Diceros bicornis minor: one gene and its partner. The main gene of each other region encodes a partner of the protein of the gene in region 2 in a complex. Links are inferred from orthologs where the notes say so. Each region holds a gene or a part of one and is shown on either strand. Other genes may lie near its edges. The genes, in order: HOXB2 and SATB1.

Region 1 (7,466 bases), on a different chromosome or scaffold from region 2:
GACCAGTTACCGTCCTGGGCATGGGGCCTTCCTTCCCGAAAAAACCCCCGACTCCTACTCCATTCCTTGGCCCGGCCCATGTCCCCAGGCCTCGCGTCCCCAGGCTTCCTGCCTGTGGGGGTAAAAAAGCCCCTCCACCCCGCTTTGGGCACTGAGGCGAGAAGCCTGGGGAACCCTAGGCTCCCCCCAATTCAGCTGAACCTCTGCGCCCCGCGCCACGACTCCCAAGCCAGTCCCCAGGCCTCCTCTTTTTGCACCCTCTTCTGTTGGCGACACAGCCTCTCCTTCCACTCGCCCACCTTTATGTCTAAGCAGAGGCCTGGGAACACCCGCGCAGGGCCAAAGGCCGTCTGTTAGGCGGAGGCGAGGTGTTGGAGCTTCTAGCAAACTCCAGACTTTCTCCGGAGCTGCGGGCGGAGAAGCGGCGGCCAAGTAGGGGCACTTTTGTACCACCCGGACTCAGCCGGCCCAAGGCCAGACAAACCTCGCGCAGGTCCTGAGGGGATGCGGGGTGGGTCCCAACACAAACACTCGTTTTTGTATTATAAAGACATTTATTTAATCTATGAAAATAATGTACAATAAATACTTTTCCCTTTTCCTATTATTAAAGAATTTTAATAAATAATCTAAGGTCTAAAACTTAAAAAAAAGGGGGGGATAGGTTCCTCTAGTTGTTTTTTAAGAAAGCCCCCCCTCCCGGAGTTTAATTATTCCTGAGATTTCGTTGGAAGGAGTCTACCAAACGGAATTTTTCCGTTTTGATTTTAAAAAGACCCAATATTTTAGAGGGAGAAGAAACGAAGTGGATTAAACGCTAATTCAATAATACCTGAATTGTAGCAAAACACGTAAAGAAGTCTAAAGGACTTGGGGAGGAGGGTCCTCGGGTTTTCCAGCAGACAGCCGAGGGGGGCGGGGGTCGAAAGGGCCGGGAGGAGGAAACGGGTCAGGGGAACTGCAGGTCGATGGCACAGAGGGTGCTGGTGAAGAAGTCCAGCTCTTCCTCGGAAAAGGGAACCAGGCTGTCGAGCGAGCCTTGTAGGCTGGGGGAGAAGCCTCCGGACAGCTGGAGACAGGAATCGGCAGCGAAGAAGTTGAGGTCGGGCAGGAAAGGCGAATCCTGCCGCTCCGGGAAGGCGTCTTCTGGCAAGGGCTCCGGCTCCAGCCCGCCGGCCCCGCGCAGGGCGCAGCCGGGGCTCGGCGCACCCGAGTCCTCCACGCGAGTGGCCAAAGGCTGGCGGCCCGGGGCGCCCGGGGGCCCCGGCGCGACCTCGGGCGGGTAAGAGCAGGCGTCCCGCACCGCCCGCGAGGCCGACTGGCAGCCGGGGCTGGCCACGGGCTCCTCGGCGGGCTCTCCGGTGTCCTCCAGGGCTCCCGGGCAGGCTGGCTCCCCGTCGAGCGGCTCTCGGTGCTGCGTCTGCCGCTTGTGCTTCATGCGCCGGTTCTGGAACCAGACTTTGACCTGCCTCTCGGTGAGGTCCAGCAAGGCCGCGATCTCAACGCGGCGCGGCCGGCACAAGTACTTGTTAAAGTGGAATTCCTTCTCCAACTCCAGCAGCTGCGTGTTGGTGTAAGCCGTGCGCAGCCTGCGCGCCCCGCCGCCCGCAGCCTCCTGCAGTCCCGGGCCATCTGCAGGGAAAGCAGGCTCGGCGTCAAAGCGGACCGCGTCCTCAGCCCAACCTTAGATCAGCTGAAGTAAAGACTTACCCCATCTGCCAAAAACAATATCAGTAGCAACCCCCCTCCTTCCCGCCTACCTAGGCAGCTCGCTCCCACTGCTTCTCCGTTCTTTCCCGTCTCTCTCGCGGGCAGACCCAGCCCAGGTCAGGGCAAAGCATTCAAAGAGCCGCCCACGGCCCACGCAGGGGGTAGGGAGCGGCTCCTCTTCGCCCCCAGAACCTCAGAGCCCCCCTCCCAAGTCCTCCGAGTGGACCTCTCTATTCGGCACTTTCCAACTCAGCCCGGAGAGAGGGTTCGTAAAGAAAGATGGTTTCCCACCCCTTTTCCTCCTAGCTCTCAAATTCCCCCTCTTCTCTTCGATCTGGGAAAGATGGGACTGAATCTTTTCCTGCCCCCAGATTCAACCCCAGCAACAACACATTCACTCCTGCACACAGATAAAGGTGAAAACCTCAATCGAATCCTTTTCTTCTAGCATAGAAAAAGCTCTTCCCCAACCAGCTTCCAAAAGCTGCTGTAAGGACAAAAAAAAAAAAAAAATGCTAGCAGCGACCAGGCCTGAACCTCAGCGGTATATTCTGCTTCCTCGTCCCTGAAATCCACGGGGGCAAGGAACCCCAGCAAGCTCGCCACCTTTTCTACCTCCCCCATCGATCTTTCTCTCCCTCTCTTCTACCTGCCCCTCACCCCACCCCTACCCCTCTTACCGACCTGCTGGCGATCCGACCCCGGAGGCAGGGACGGAAGAGGCGGCCGGAGGAGACGTGGCGGATTGGCTGGGTTTCTTGGCGGATTTCTTCTCTTTCATCCAAGGGAACTCGGGGGCCAAGGGGGCGGCGGGGAGCTGCGGCGGCGGTAGAGCGGGCCCATCTTCGGCTTGCTTTTGGCTCCCGGGTCTCTGAAGGGTGGAGGCGCCGGGCTGGAGGCTGGGGAAGGTTTGCTCGAAAGGAGGAGGAGGAGGAATTAATGTCGACTCCTTGATTGATGAAGTTTGAAATGTCTCCAAGACAGCGGGGAAGGAAGTCAGACACTCGGCGAGCGATGGCTGGCTGTTTATAAACCCAATCTCCCTCTCAAATTCAAAATTCATGGCTTTCAATGGTGGGGGAGGGGGCCTGCTGGGGGGGGCGTCAGGAGGGAGGATCGGAAGGTACCCCCCCTCCTGCCCCCCCAGGTTAATGTGATGGAGCGATATCGGGAGGGGGAGATTTTGCTCTCTCTCTCTCCTTTTTTTTTTTTTTTTATTTTGGGCCTTTATAATTGTATATTGCTGATAAATACAAGCGTATGGGGACTCTCTCTATTAAACTCAGGACTCGGGTGAAATTGCAGGGAATTCGTGGTCACGGGACTGGCTTTGGCCAATGGCTCGTCTGGGCCTGGTGGAAAACAGAGAGCATTATTTGCTTTAATTGATTCAAAAACTCTAGAGGACCACGACCTGGACACCATGAGCCCCCCAGTCCTACACGCCATCTCTCCAATGCCTCCCTTTCTCCCGAAAAGCTAGAGGAACCTTTGTCTCATGCCCTTCAGAGGATGGGAGGTTATGGAAGCCTGGAAAACAGGAGAATCTAAGGGAGAAATCTTCCTTTTTGCCAAATATTTTTTAATAGTAAATTAATGCTTTCTTTACATACTCTCCCCCCTCACCCTCACCCTCACCCCCAACACACAAAAAGAAAGCTGAGGGAGGATCTCCATGTGGAAGGACAAGGTAGTAGGAAGAGGCTTCCACCCTTTGGGAAAGGTCAGTGTTAACGTGTAATACACTAGGAAGAGAGGAGATTTACAATCATCAGTACCACTATCCCCATCCCACCCCCCAAAAGCAACAGATAAATCTTGGAAAATCGACAGGCACTCCCAGGCTGACACAGAGGAGTGAGATAGATGGTGAGGGGTCCTTTTGGATCTCTGGCCTCTGTAGCTGTGTGGTGTCAGTTCCCTTCTCTGCCCTTCTCTGTGTTTGCAGTACTGTCCCTGCCCCTGGGTCCACCTGCCCTCCTCACCTGGTGGCATCTGCCATCATCTATGATCCCCGCCCCCCCAACAGGCAGGGTCTAAGATGCGTATGCACCCATTCAAAGCTCAAGCCTGTATCTGCATTTATATCCAGGGACATGAACAAGAATGAAGGTAGCCACCAATTGAACTTAGAGCACTCTCCAAGCTCAGGTCAATGTATGGGGGGAGGACTTCCCCCCTAGGACAAAGAGACTCCTCCTCCCATTTTTGCCATTGTGCTAGTAAAAAAAAAAAAAATCCTTGGCAGGAAAGAATTCCTTGAACATGGAGGGGATGGAAATAATGACCACTGAGATGATATTCCATTTCTGGCCCCTTGGGAAAGAATTTTTTTTTTTTAATTTGAGGGGATCAAGATAGTCTGAACTTCAGAGAGTGCTATAATTTACTGGAGGGAGGGGGCACAAGACTCAGGGCCCCAAGCGATCGGTGGGAAACTAGATCTCAAAGCAGAAAATGAAAAGTCGATCTGGGGGAAGATTTTTAAATAAGTGGGTCAGAGGGACGGAGAGGAGATGAGGCGATCAATCTTAGCCCCCTGACAGCTCCCTCCGATGGCATCAAAGAATTTGGCTGTTTGGGAAAGCAGAGGGAACAGCAGAAATTCCACATCCCTTTAAAAGGCCTGGGGGTGGAGGGTGTTAGCAAAAGAGAAAGGTGATTCCGGGAGAGCGGGAAACAGATGGGAAATGGGAACAGAAGGAAGGGCGCTGAGTTGGGTGGAAAGTTTGTCTGGAGAACTCCCACGGCTCTGGCCTCCCCTCCCCCTCCTCGCTCTCTCCTGCCCAGCAAGGAAGAGAAGGCTGGTTAGCAGAGAAATGGCAACTCAGCCCCCGAGCTGGAACTGGAAACTTTCTGTCAATGTAACAGTCCGTGGGTGGTGGTGAGTATTTAACAACGACAGAGAAGTCTGAGGGGAAGGGTGGGGGTGCAGGAGAGCCAGGATGGAGGAAGAGGAGCTGGAGGTAGGGGCTGCAGAGCCAGGGGTGGCAGGCGCTGGAGGGCTCAGAACAGAGAGAGCTGCTCTGAACTGGGCAAACTGGCCAGAGACAGTTGTGTCCAGCTCCAAAGCTAGCAATTTTTGCCATTTGGGGGTGGAAATGGGGATGTAGGTGGGGATGGGGTTGTGGGTGGGGGTGGACACAGAAGAATCCAAGTAGTTGTCTGGAAGTTGGGCATTGAGGCCTGAGAGGATTCTCCCTCTGGCCACCCCGTTGAGAAGCCCTGGAAGTTTTTTCACAGCCTCTTCAGCTGGCTGCAGAGCCCAGAACGCTCCTCTCAGAAACAACTCCGGCAGAGACTGTCCCTGCAAGAAATACGGCTTTCTCTAACCCTGCTGACAGATTTTACAGCCAGATTAGAGAACAGCAGAAAACTTGGGTGTTAAAAAGGGCCAAGAGAACCCTCCTTCCCAGAGACACCGCTTCCGCGCCCCTCTGTTGTGCTGTGAATCTTACAGAACAGATATTTTCCCCATGACTTTGGCTGCTTAGTTAGTGCCTGGAATTTCGCAGAGAGAAGGGCAGGGGACACCAAGCCAAGTCAGCCCTTATTTTTCTTGTTTGTAATTCCAGCTTCAAGCCAAAACTCTGTTTTTCAAACTGGAGCTGAATTCTCTCTCTTGGCCTGCCTCTCTCCTGCTAGATACATAATCCACTCCACCCCCAGAGCCAAACATGGCGCTTCATCTAGTTACATCATTCAGAAAATGATATTCAGGGAAGAGGAAGAGAGAGAAAGACAGACAGAAAGAAAAACCGCTGAGCGTTATTTGATCCCAGTCAAACTTTGCACGCTCTTATGCCTTTAAATTATAGCCTGACCCAATGCTAAATTGCTTGCTGCTTGAATGAGCCCAGTCCAGTTAAAATCCTACTTGGTGCTGGTGGTGGTGGTGGTGGTGGTGGTGGTGGGGAGGGTGTAGAATTCAGGTTGCTTTTTTATTGTTATTTATTGTTGCATAAAGACTGTAATTACTAACCTTGGACTGCCAGGATGCAACATAAAAATGAAAATCAGCCCTCGCTTTAAGGCTGAGGCCCTGGAATGATTCTCACCCACACTCCCCCCTCCCCCCTTCAACCACCACATCACTACCACCAAATATATGCTCCTAATTAAGCAATGCGGGTGCATCGCTTACAATTATGCAACTCTTCAGCAAGCAGCCATCGCTTCTCTTTCAACGAATTAGCTCCATATTTCAGCCGCCCTGTCTCCTCGCTCTTATCGGTTCCAGCGACGCGCGGTGACATTTCATCTTTGACAGACCCTCTCTATCCTCGTTCCAATGTGATAAAACTTTTATGGAACCCTGGCTAAGAAATGAAGTTTTCCCAAGGATGGTGGAAACAGAGCCTCACATTAGCCTAGGGACCATTTTATTTACGCTTGGATCCAGCAGCTTCTCCCACCCTCCTCCTCTCTCCTTTCCCTGGCGGGGGAAATAGAAGGCGCCTCCTCTCCCTCCGCCCCCAGTTTTATTTAGTGATTTAATTTCACTTTAGTTTTAAGGTTTGACCTGAGAAGCCTAGGCCTTATATATATATATATATATATATATATATATATATATATATATATATTTTTTTTTTTTTTTTAGATTAATCATTTTCCTTTGTTTTCATTTTAGACCCAATGGTGGTTGGGCTTCGGGTCACGTGACGACTTCTTTGTAGCTCCGGAAGAGAACTGTGAAGTTTAGCTTGCATGGAAGAAGCACTAATACGCCAGATTTTTTTGTTGCTGGGGGAGTGTGTTGGGGGGGGGTGGCGAGGAGGTTGTGGCCAAGGAGTGAGAAGACAAAAGGGCAATGAAGGAGAAAAATTGAGAGGCAAAGAAGCCAAACAAAAAGACCTAGAGAGAGCACCCAAGAGTCCTTTCCCCCTCAACTTGTTACTTAAATCTTAGCTAAAGAAGTTGGCAGCATGTTCCAGGCTCCTGTGAGTGACAAAAACTATATAAACCTGAGACAGCGAGGGGGAGGCAGGGGTCTGGGCAGTGAACAAAAAGGCCAGAAGAGGGTCTTCAGTGTCCTTCTTCCCTTGGGGGAAATTGAGCAGTCAGCAGCCTCCCTCTGCTATCTAAATTGGACTACCAGGACAAGATAAAATTGTTAACAGAAAGTTTATTCAAGAATTGTTTGACAGACAACCCTTTTAAGTAAGGAAAAAAGTAACTACGGAACAACAAAGAAAGTTCCAAGAGAGAATTAACTCTAATTCTACAAATTCAGGACTATACAGTGACAATTAGGAGCTGAGTTCATGCCTTTTAGAACTAATTACAATTGCTCATAAGTACGAATTTAACATAAATCTACAGCTCTTTTCTAGAGTACAATAATAACTAAAATAGCTGTTTTTACATGACAGGAAACACAATGTCCTTTATAACAAGTAAATACTTAAAAAAAGTACAATTTTTTCCCTCATATAAATACATAATGTAGGGGGATAAATAATACAAAAAAGAAAATATTTTAACAGGCTATAACCAATAAATATATATGAAAATGTTCACTAGAACACACGCTTTTTGAGCGATGCTGGACTCCTACAGGCCCAGGCATCTCTCACAGTTGTTTTTATATCCATTAAAATGTAAACTCTAAGTGCAACAAAAGTGTCCTGTCAGGAGGTTGAGCAAGGCACACAGGCCCAGCAGCAGCCCCTGCCTGGGACAGACAGTTTGTTAAAATATACCCTGTTTTCACGTTAAGTCAAGAGAGCAACAGAAGAAAATAAAATTGTAGA
Region 2 (7,535 bases):
AGAGTGCTTTATAGAGTCCCTGCTGTATATCCATGTTGTGTTTAGCTTAATAGTGTTTGTAACCAAAAGATTTTTACAATAATGAGGAACAGGTGGCTGTCACCTGAACTTTTAGGCCTAATTTACAATCCACAACCTGTCACATGAAAAAATAATTGAAAATCTCCTCCAGATATTTCAGTCTTTGCTAACTTAATGTAATCTTTCTTAACCATCACTCAGCATATCATATCTTATTCAATCGCAGGTTCATATAGCTGGCAACAGACTTCCTTGCAGAAATCAACCAACATTCATTTTGTTGTTGTTCTTGTTTAAGATGCTGTGAGACAAAAGAACTACTTTTGTAGATTATCAACCAAAGAATATATTAATTTATTACAACAACTGAACAAAAGGCATTCCTTTTGAATACTTTTATATACAAAGCACTATTATTTATTACATATTTCAGCTTGTGGGAAAATGAGGAATGCATTGATTCTGGAAATAACTATTCAGACTTTTCTAAGTTCTTTAGGTCTTCTCTATCTCTTTTTTCCCCTTCCCCTTGCCCCGCACCCCCATCCCCCACACATTTTAAGGCACTAGTTACTTTAGGAGGGAAATCCCTATTTGTTGTTTTTTCATCCATCATTTGTATTCATTATTCAGAAAGGAATACAAAATTGAGCAGTGATTTTTATTTCTCTTGTATAATCTCGTTACATGTAGCCATACTCAAATTTAACAATGCTTTGTATTTTATAGCTACTGTTTACATATTATGTATTACATATGACCGAACAACTCTACATTTAAAATATTGTTTCCATTAGAAAAAATATGAAGTAATAAGTGTCAAATGGAGATGAAGAATAAACATGCTTGGTATATTTACAAAATGTATAGTCATTTAAAATGTGCACAAATAGGATACATATTTTGCTACTGTTCCATTTTACATAGTATGCACATTGTCTAAAGTGTATTTAATAATGTGCCTAACCAAGTTAATTAAAGTATTTATGTCTGGTGATTGTGTTAAACACTTGGAGAGGTAGTGAAAGATACAGCCAGTTACTTCTGCTAACTAAAGTTGAAATTATGCACTTATTATAACCTTTTCTAACAATGTGAGAAAAACACAGTAAATATATTAAATTTGTTTCACAACAGATGCTTAGGTTGTTAATATTTAAGATGCCTATTCATGCTATTCCTGTCTGCACATTTGTCAAAAATGTAAGCTTGAATGCTAATGTTTGCCAGCAGACTGGAGCAGCCAGTATATGAATGTACTACTGTTCTACTAAAATAATACGCATAGAAATAAAGGACCGCTGCTAAATCGTAGCACTGGTACCACACAACAGATTAAAGGTTTTTAGAGCAAACACCTCAACCTTGGCTTTCTTCCGTCTTAAAGTACGGGTTTTTTGCAGCTACGTTTGACTATAGAATAAATCTTACATTCCTGACATCTCAGGAAAATCCACTTTAGATAAGGTGTAAATTTCAATAAAGTTTCAACGGGATGAGTTACTCCATCAGCAGCACAAACACTGTAGATTCAGGGACTACTTAGGACAAACCTGACACTGAGCAGTAGCGTTTGACTCATTCTTACCCCCTCCTTCTCTTCTTGGGAAAGTCAGGTCCCCTGGCCTCCAGGAACGCAAGCATGGAACCCCAGCCAGGGCAGAAAGGTTCTCTCCTGAGAATAAGACGTCTTTCTGTTTTCCCTTCTCTTTTACTATCATGGGAGTCCAAGTCTTAAAACATTTGCCTGGAAATCCGGAACGCCGCCGAGAAAGTTCGCGGAGGAAGGGCGCAAAGGTCAAAGTTGCCAACCAGGGTACTTAGAGAGGCGATCCTGTGGTTGGCACTTGTAAATGAAATTTGCAACGCCCTGGTGGAGGTCCGGGCCAAAGCCTCTAGCTAGAGCCCTAAGCCCCTCTCCGTCTCCTGAGGTCATCCCAAGAGTCCCGCTCAGTGCCCTTCCCCGGTACACGCGTGTCACTCCCCGGACCTGCCACCTGCCTGCTTCGTCCCTGTCATCGTGGTTGCCCAAACCCACGCTCTGCCGCCCCGGGAGACTCAGTGGAGCGCTCGGAGAAGGCCGCCGCGCTCGGGTCGGGACTGCAGGAGGGAGACACGGTGTGGACTCCGAGGCCGCACCTGTGATGTTTCGGTCCCTGCAAAGAGGGCAGCACCTCTTCCCGCCTCCAGCCCAACTCATAACCTCCAAGCACGCCAGGAACCCCTTCTGGACCTCACTACAGCCGGCGAGGGCTCGAAACGCGGAGTCCCGCGGCTTTCAAACTCCCGGCTCCAACTTGAGCGCCCCGGCGCCCGAGTGCCTCCCAGGATGGAGAAGTTGCCGCAAACTTCCCAGGCCCCTCTCCACCACCGCTCCCAACCAGCCGCGCCAGTGGGGGGGCGGAGGAAGGCGGAGATGGACCGAGGAAGGATGCTGAGCTCACTCGCGATCCGGCGGGGGAACGTTTCCACTCCCCCAGCCTACTCCGGCGGGCACCCTTCTGCCAGCCCGGCTCCGGGGAGCACAGAGAGGCTCTCCCTTTTCCCGTTTGCTGACTTCGGTCTTTTCCACTCCCCTTTTCTCTTCCAAAAGGAGTCACACTGATGACCTGAAGGAGTTTGTTCAGCCAGGGTCTGTCGGGCAGGTGTGTTAGTGTGTCCACACCCTGAGAGAGAACGAATGGCATCTTCAAGTTTCCCATCTCGGGTGCTCTTCCTCACTCTGCCGGCCCACCCCTCCGGGATCCGGCTGCGCGAGAAAGGGGCTCGGAAGACCCCTGCCGCCGGGCGCCCACGAGAGGAGAGCCGAGCCGCCCCAACAAGGGGCGCCGGGGGTGGGTGCTACAGAGAAGTTTGGATCGATTCCGGAAAAAGAGAGAGACAGAGATAAAAAGCAAGAGTGGGGGGGCGGAAAAGAGAGGCAAAAGAGCACAACTCACTCAGGCATGGGCGTTGGGGGCGGCGGTGGCTGTCGAGTGCGGGCCGGAGACCAGGAACGGCTCCCCGGGCGGGCGCGCCGGCGTCGGACTTCCGAGGCGGCGGCTTCTGCCTCTTGTGCCGCCGCCGCCGGAGCTGCGGCTGCCGCGGAAGTTAATTGCAACTTGACTTCAAGTTGTCTTCTTTCCCCATCCGAAGTGGGCGTTTAAAGGGGAGAGCGAGGCGAGGAGCGAGCGAGCGAGCGCGCGGGGCCGAGGGAAGGAAGAGAAGGGGGGGAGGGAGGAGATGTTAACAGGGGGGAGGGGGAGGGGGCGGCGGCGGGGGCGGGAGGGGGAAGGGGCCGGCGGGAGCTGCTCTCGGCTCGGCGGTCGCCGCGCCCGCAGTCTAGAGGCGCACCGGAGCGGCCGGGGCGCCCCCCGCGGGAGCCCGCAGCCGCCCGGGGCGCGCATCCAGCCGCGGCTCCTCGGGCCGGGCACGCTGCGCCCGGGGGCTCGGCGGACCCCGCGTCGCCGCCGCTTCGGAGCTTGTGCGGCGCGGGCTGGCCGGAGGGGCGGCGAGGGCCCAACCCGCCTCCCCAGCGCCCGCCCCGGCTTCTCCCCCTGGCGGTGGAGCCTCGGCGGCCGGCGGCACCACTAGGCGCGCTGGAGCCCGAGCCGAGCCGAGCCCGAGCCGCCGCCGCTGCCGCGCGCCGCTCCCAGGCTCCCTCCCAGCGCGCCGGCCGGGGCGTGGGGGGCGGCGGGCCGGAGAGACGAGGGCGGGCGGGGGACGCGCACTGGGATTGGCGCCGAAGACCGGACCCTCAGCTGCCAGGGGTAAGTGTGGGCGCCTGGGAGTGCGCCTGGGGGTGCGCGGCGCGGTTCTCGACGCTCGCCACCCTGCCCCCTCACCACTCCGGGGCCCCCACCGCGCGCACCCCTCCTCTTGCCGCCTGCGGCTTCCTCTTGTTGTTGGTTGTTTGGCTGAGCTTTTTTTTGGGGGGGGTGAGGGGGGGAAGTGGTGATTGTAGTGTGTGTGCCAGCGGAGGAGGAAGTCAGGTGAGAAGCCCCGATGCAGCCCCCCCCAACCAGCCTGCGTGGGATGTATCGCTCCCCACTAGGGGCATGTGGGCCAATTTTTTTCTCTTGTCATGTTCAGCCGAGATGATCTTTCCTAGAGGGCCTCCTTCCCTTACAGCCTGCCTTGTCCATGTCCTTTCACCCCACCCTCGCCCCTCTCAGCGCCCCATCCAGGAGCGCTGCATCCCAACGTGGCGGAAGGAGGAGGGGGCCCTCTTGCAGACCCTCACGCCGCACCCCTGCCCATTTAATATTTATCCTCCCATCAGCAGCTGTACTTCAACCCACTGGAAAAAAGACGCCTAAGCTGAGGTCCAATTTCTCCAAAAACCTGGAAGCAGAGACGGCGAGAGATAAGGATTTAATGATTGGGGGACTTGCAGAGGAGAAGGGGCCTGGGAACCTTCCCAAAAGGAGACTGAAACTCCAAAAACGTCTGCAAGATCAGAGTGACTGGAGGGTCAGCACCCCAGGCTCAGGAGAAGCTGGACCTAGGTCAATTTTGCCCCTCTCCTCCTACCATTCTTCCCCCAGCTCTAAGGTTGCTAACAGGTCTTTTGTTATGTGTTGTGTCGTTTTAAGGAAATTTGCATTGAGTATGACAACAGAAAATTACTACTGTTTACTCAAAGTTTAGGGGATTGCAGAAAGAAAAAACATAGTCATTACTTTTTTTCTTTGTGTGTGTGTGGAGTTGTTAGGTTCATGGCATGAACGGCAAAACCTCAGTAATAATAAGGACTGTAGAGCCGCCTCGGTATATTTTTAGAAGCTGCACTTTCTTGAGTTCCTTTCACACAAAGCTTGCTCTCTCATTAAGTCCCCATAAAGAATTGTATTTAGAGAGAAGGAAACTATGGAAGCAGGAGTGAGATTGCTAAGATCTCCATCCCGCCAGCGCAGAGTACTGTTTGCAGTGAAGTTCCTGGAAAGTGACTGTGGGCTGAGAATTCAGTTTTTCCTAAAAGCTCTGTTAGGTCCTCTTCTATCAGATGTCTATGAACAAAGTACAGCATGCTGGGAAAATCCTGTTATCCGTGCAGTCTTATTTTATCTTTTACACAGTGGCTGATTCTACTTTCAAGTTCTGGTAACAAACACATCAACTGTGCTGTATTTTTGTGCGGTTTTTCTAAATAAAGGAGAGTAGCACAGTGTAGTCATGCTGCTTTCTGACATGCCAGTTCTTTTCTATCAATCAGTATTGAATTTGCTGGAATTTATCCGTCTTTTTCAGTTGATTGTCATTTATGCAGAGACAACAATTCCAAAGACATAAGAATATAAGAAGTTTGTGAGTTAGTGTTTTTAGAGTACTAGCCCTGATTTTTAAGACTTAAGTGCCCACCTCAACTCCTGGTTCTATAAGGCAAAGGAAAAAAGTATAAATGATTGCAATGGGCAAAGAAAATGAAACACAAATTTTTCTTACTGGAACACTTTCTGCCTCCACACCACCCAGGAGACACCAAATCCTCCTGCCTTAATTTACCAAAATGCTGAATTGCCTAACCAGTACCAATATCTCCATCTGGGGATGACATCAGGTTTGGAACAGAAAGAATAAATTCTCAGTCTTTAATTACTACTGCTTATTAGCAATTTCTTGTAGCAGGCAGCTGATTCTCCAATTCTGAAAGCCTGAAATGAAGCTTAATAAAAATTGAAATACAGAAAAAGAATTATTTTTTCTCCCTTACACACTCTTACATACTCTTCTACTCCCCCAAGTTATCAACTAAGCCCCTAGAATTTAAGGTGTGATATGTTCCCCTGCATTAAATCAAGGGAACATTTTGCCCCAACCTTTTGAATTTGCTTTTTTCCCCCCTAACTGGTCTTATACAGAGAACTCATAGGTTCTATTATAATACAGAATTGTGTAATGGTGGGTACAGTACATTAAGTAACATATCTTGATAAACTCTTATGTAAACGTTGCCCCCTGGCGCATAGTAGGAATACATTAAATACTTACTGAATTAAGATGTTAATGAAATATTGTAATTGGCCACAAATTCAATAGTACAGGGCTAGGGCTTCTTTCAGAAGAAAAAGGCACTTTGCCGGAAAGTTATTAGGGTAATACATTTGTGCACCTAGATTTTTTTAACAAGTCGGAATCTAACTTACTAAAGACAAGTAAACCGGAAACATATCAGATGGTCACTAATAATAGCTAGTGTCAAAAGCTGATTATTTTCCTAGGAGAATAGACAATAAAGTATTGCCTACTAAATAGGATAAGAAAGATATAGAGGAAGGATAAAACAGCATTGGACTTTAAGGCACTTATTTGCTGGAAAAATGACATTAAAATGTGAAAAGACAACTCAATGGATCAGTAAATGATTTGAATCAAAGGAATACTTGAGGAAATAGATTTTTTTTCTCTTTTAGACCAGAGGAAATAGACATGCTGAAGCTCCAGGTTGGAGGGTATTTTTAAAGTTAATTTGTCCCGTCAAACCTTTTAGGGGCCGTCAGTGCAAACATCTTGGGTGAAGGAGAACTCACCACTTCCCTCCATAAAGGCAGGGATTTTATCTACAGAATACTTAGCACAGAGTAGAGTTCGATGTGCATTGTGGGAATGAATGAGTAAGATCCTAAGTAGTTCATTCCATCTTTGTACACTGTATTACCTTTTTTCTTAAATTGCACAGAACTGGTCTTTCTGAAACTTTTGACCACCAGTCTTAGTTCTGCCGTTTGCAGCAAAACAGAGGAAATCTGTTGTATTAGTCAGAATAGACTATGTTATGCCAAAGTGACAAACAATTCCGATTTTTAGTGGCCTGTAACAGCAAAAGTTGTTTTCCTGGTCATGCTATGAGTACATTGCAGGTCACCTGGTCTGTCCCATGTCTCCATATTCAGGGTCCTAGGCTGATGAAACAGTTGCCATCTTGAATGTTTTATGTTGCTATGGCAAAAATAAAGATCACTCTGTGGGTCTCATGCTGGCATTTAAATGCTGTGGGCAGAAGTGACATGCATCATTTGGGCTCACAACTAATTGGCCAGGACTAGTTGCCTGGCTCCATGGAATCGTCACAACGAGGCCAGATGGTGCAGCCTACCTTGTGCCCAAAAGTAGAGACCTGTGGTGCACAGCTCTAAGGACTACCATACTCGTAGTGACCCTTGTCCACATGATAGCCTCCAGCTACAGGATCTCTTCCTGCCGCTTTGTGCCCCAAATGTCCCATTCTTCAGGGTAAACACTGCCTGAGGGGCCACCAGCTTATAGGGAGATATAGCGTTATCTCCCTATAAGAGAGGGAGAAAGTAGTCACAAAGTGGCTTCTTTCACCACCTACTCTCTCTTTGAATACAGCACTGCAGTCCCAGCTCTCTCCCCCTAAAGTGTGGCACCCTATCAATTTTAAGTTACTCTTTGTATATTTACTTGTTTTCTGGAAAGGGTACAATGAACAGGAACTTTCAAGAACTATTATCTGAAGATGTCATGATCATTATCAAAATTTGAAATTTGGTTTGAGTAGTTACTTCCCTTAT

What was found.
Region 1: SATB1 (region 2) and HOXB2 share a complex: the UniProt entries of both Homo sapiens proteins name them as parts of the nuclear protein complex. The link is inferred for Diceros bicornis minor from reciprocal best matches to the Homo sapiens genes SATB1 and HOXB2.

Annotation. Positions count from the first base shown.
Region 1 is NC_080757.1:37,430,181-37,437,646, reverse strand, and holds HOXB2 (homeobox protein Hox-B2), read right to left. Parts: upstream 2,774-7,466; coding exon 2,395-2,773; intron 1,633-2,394; coding exon 950-1,632; 3' UTR 801-949; downstream 1-800. UniProt on the Homo sapiens protein: Sequence-specific transcription factor which is part of a developmental regulatory system that provides cells with specific positional identities on the anterior-posterior axis.
Region 2 is NC_080741.1:24,481,667-24,489,201, forward strand, and holds the start of SATB1 (DNA-binding protein SATB1), read right to left. Parts: upstream 3,158-7,535; 5' UTR 2,961-3,157; intron 1-2,960. UniProt on the Homo sapiens protein: Crucial silencing factor contributing to the initiation of X inactivation mediated by Xist RNA that occurs during embryogenesis and in lymphoma.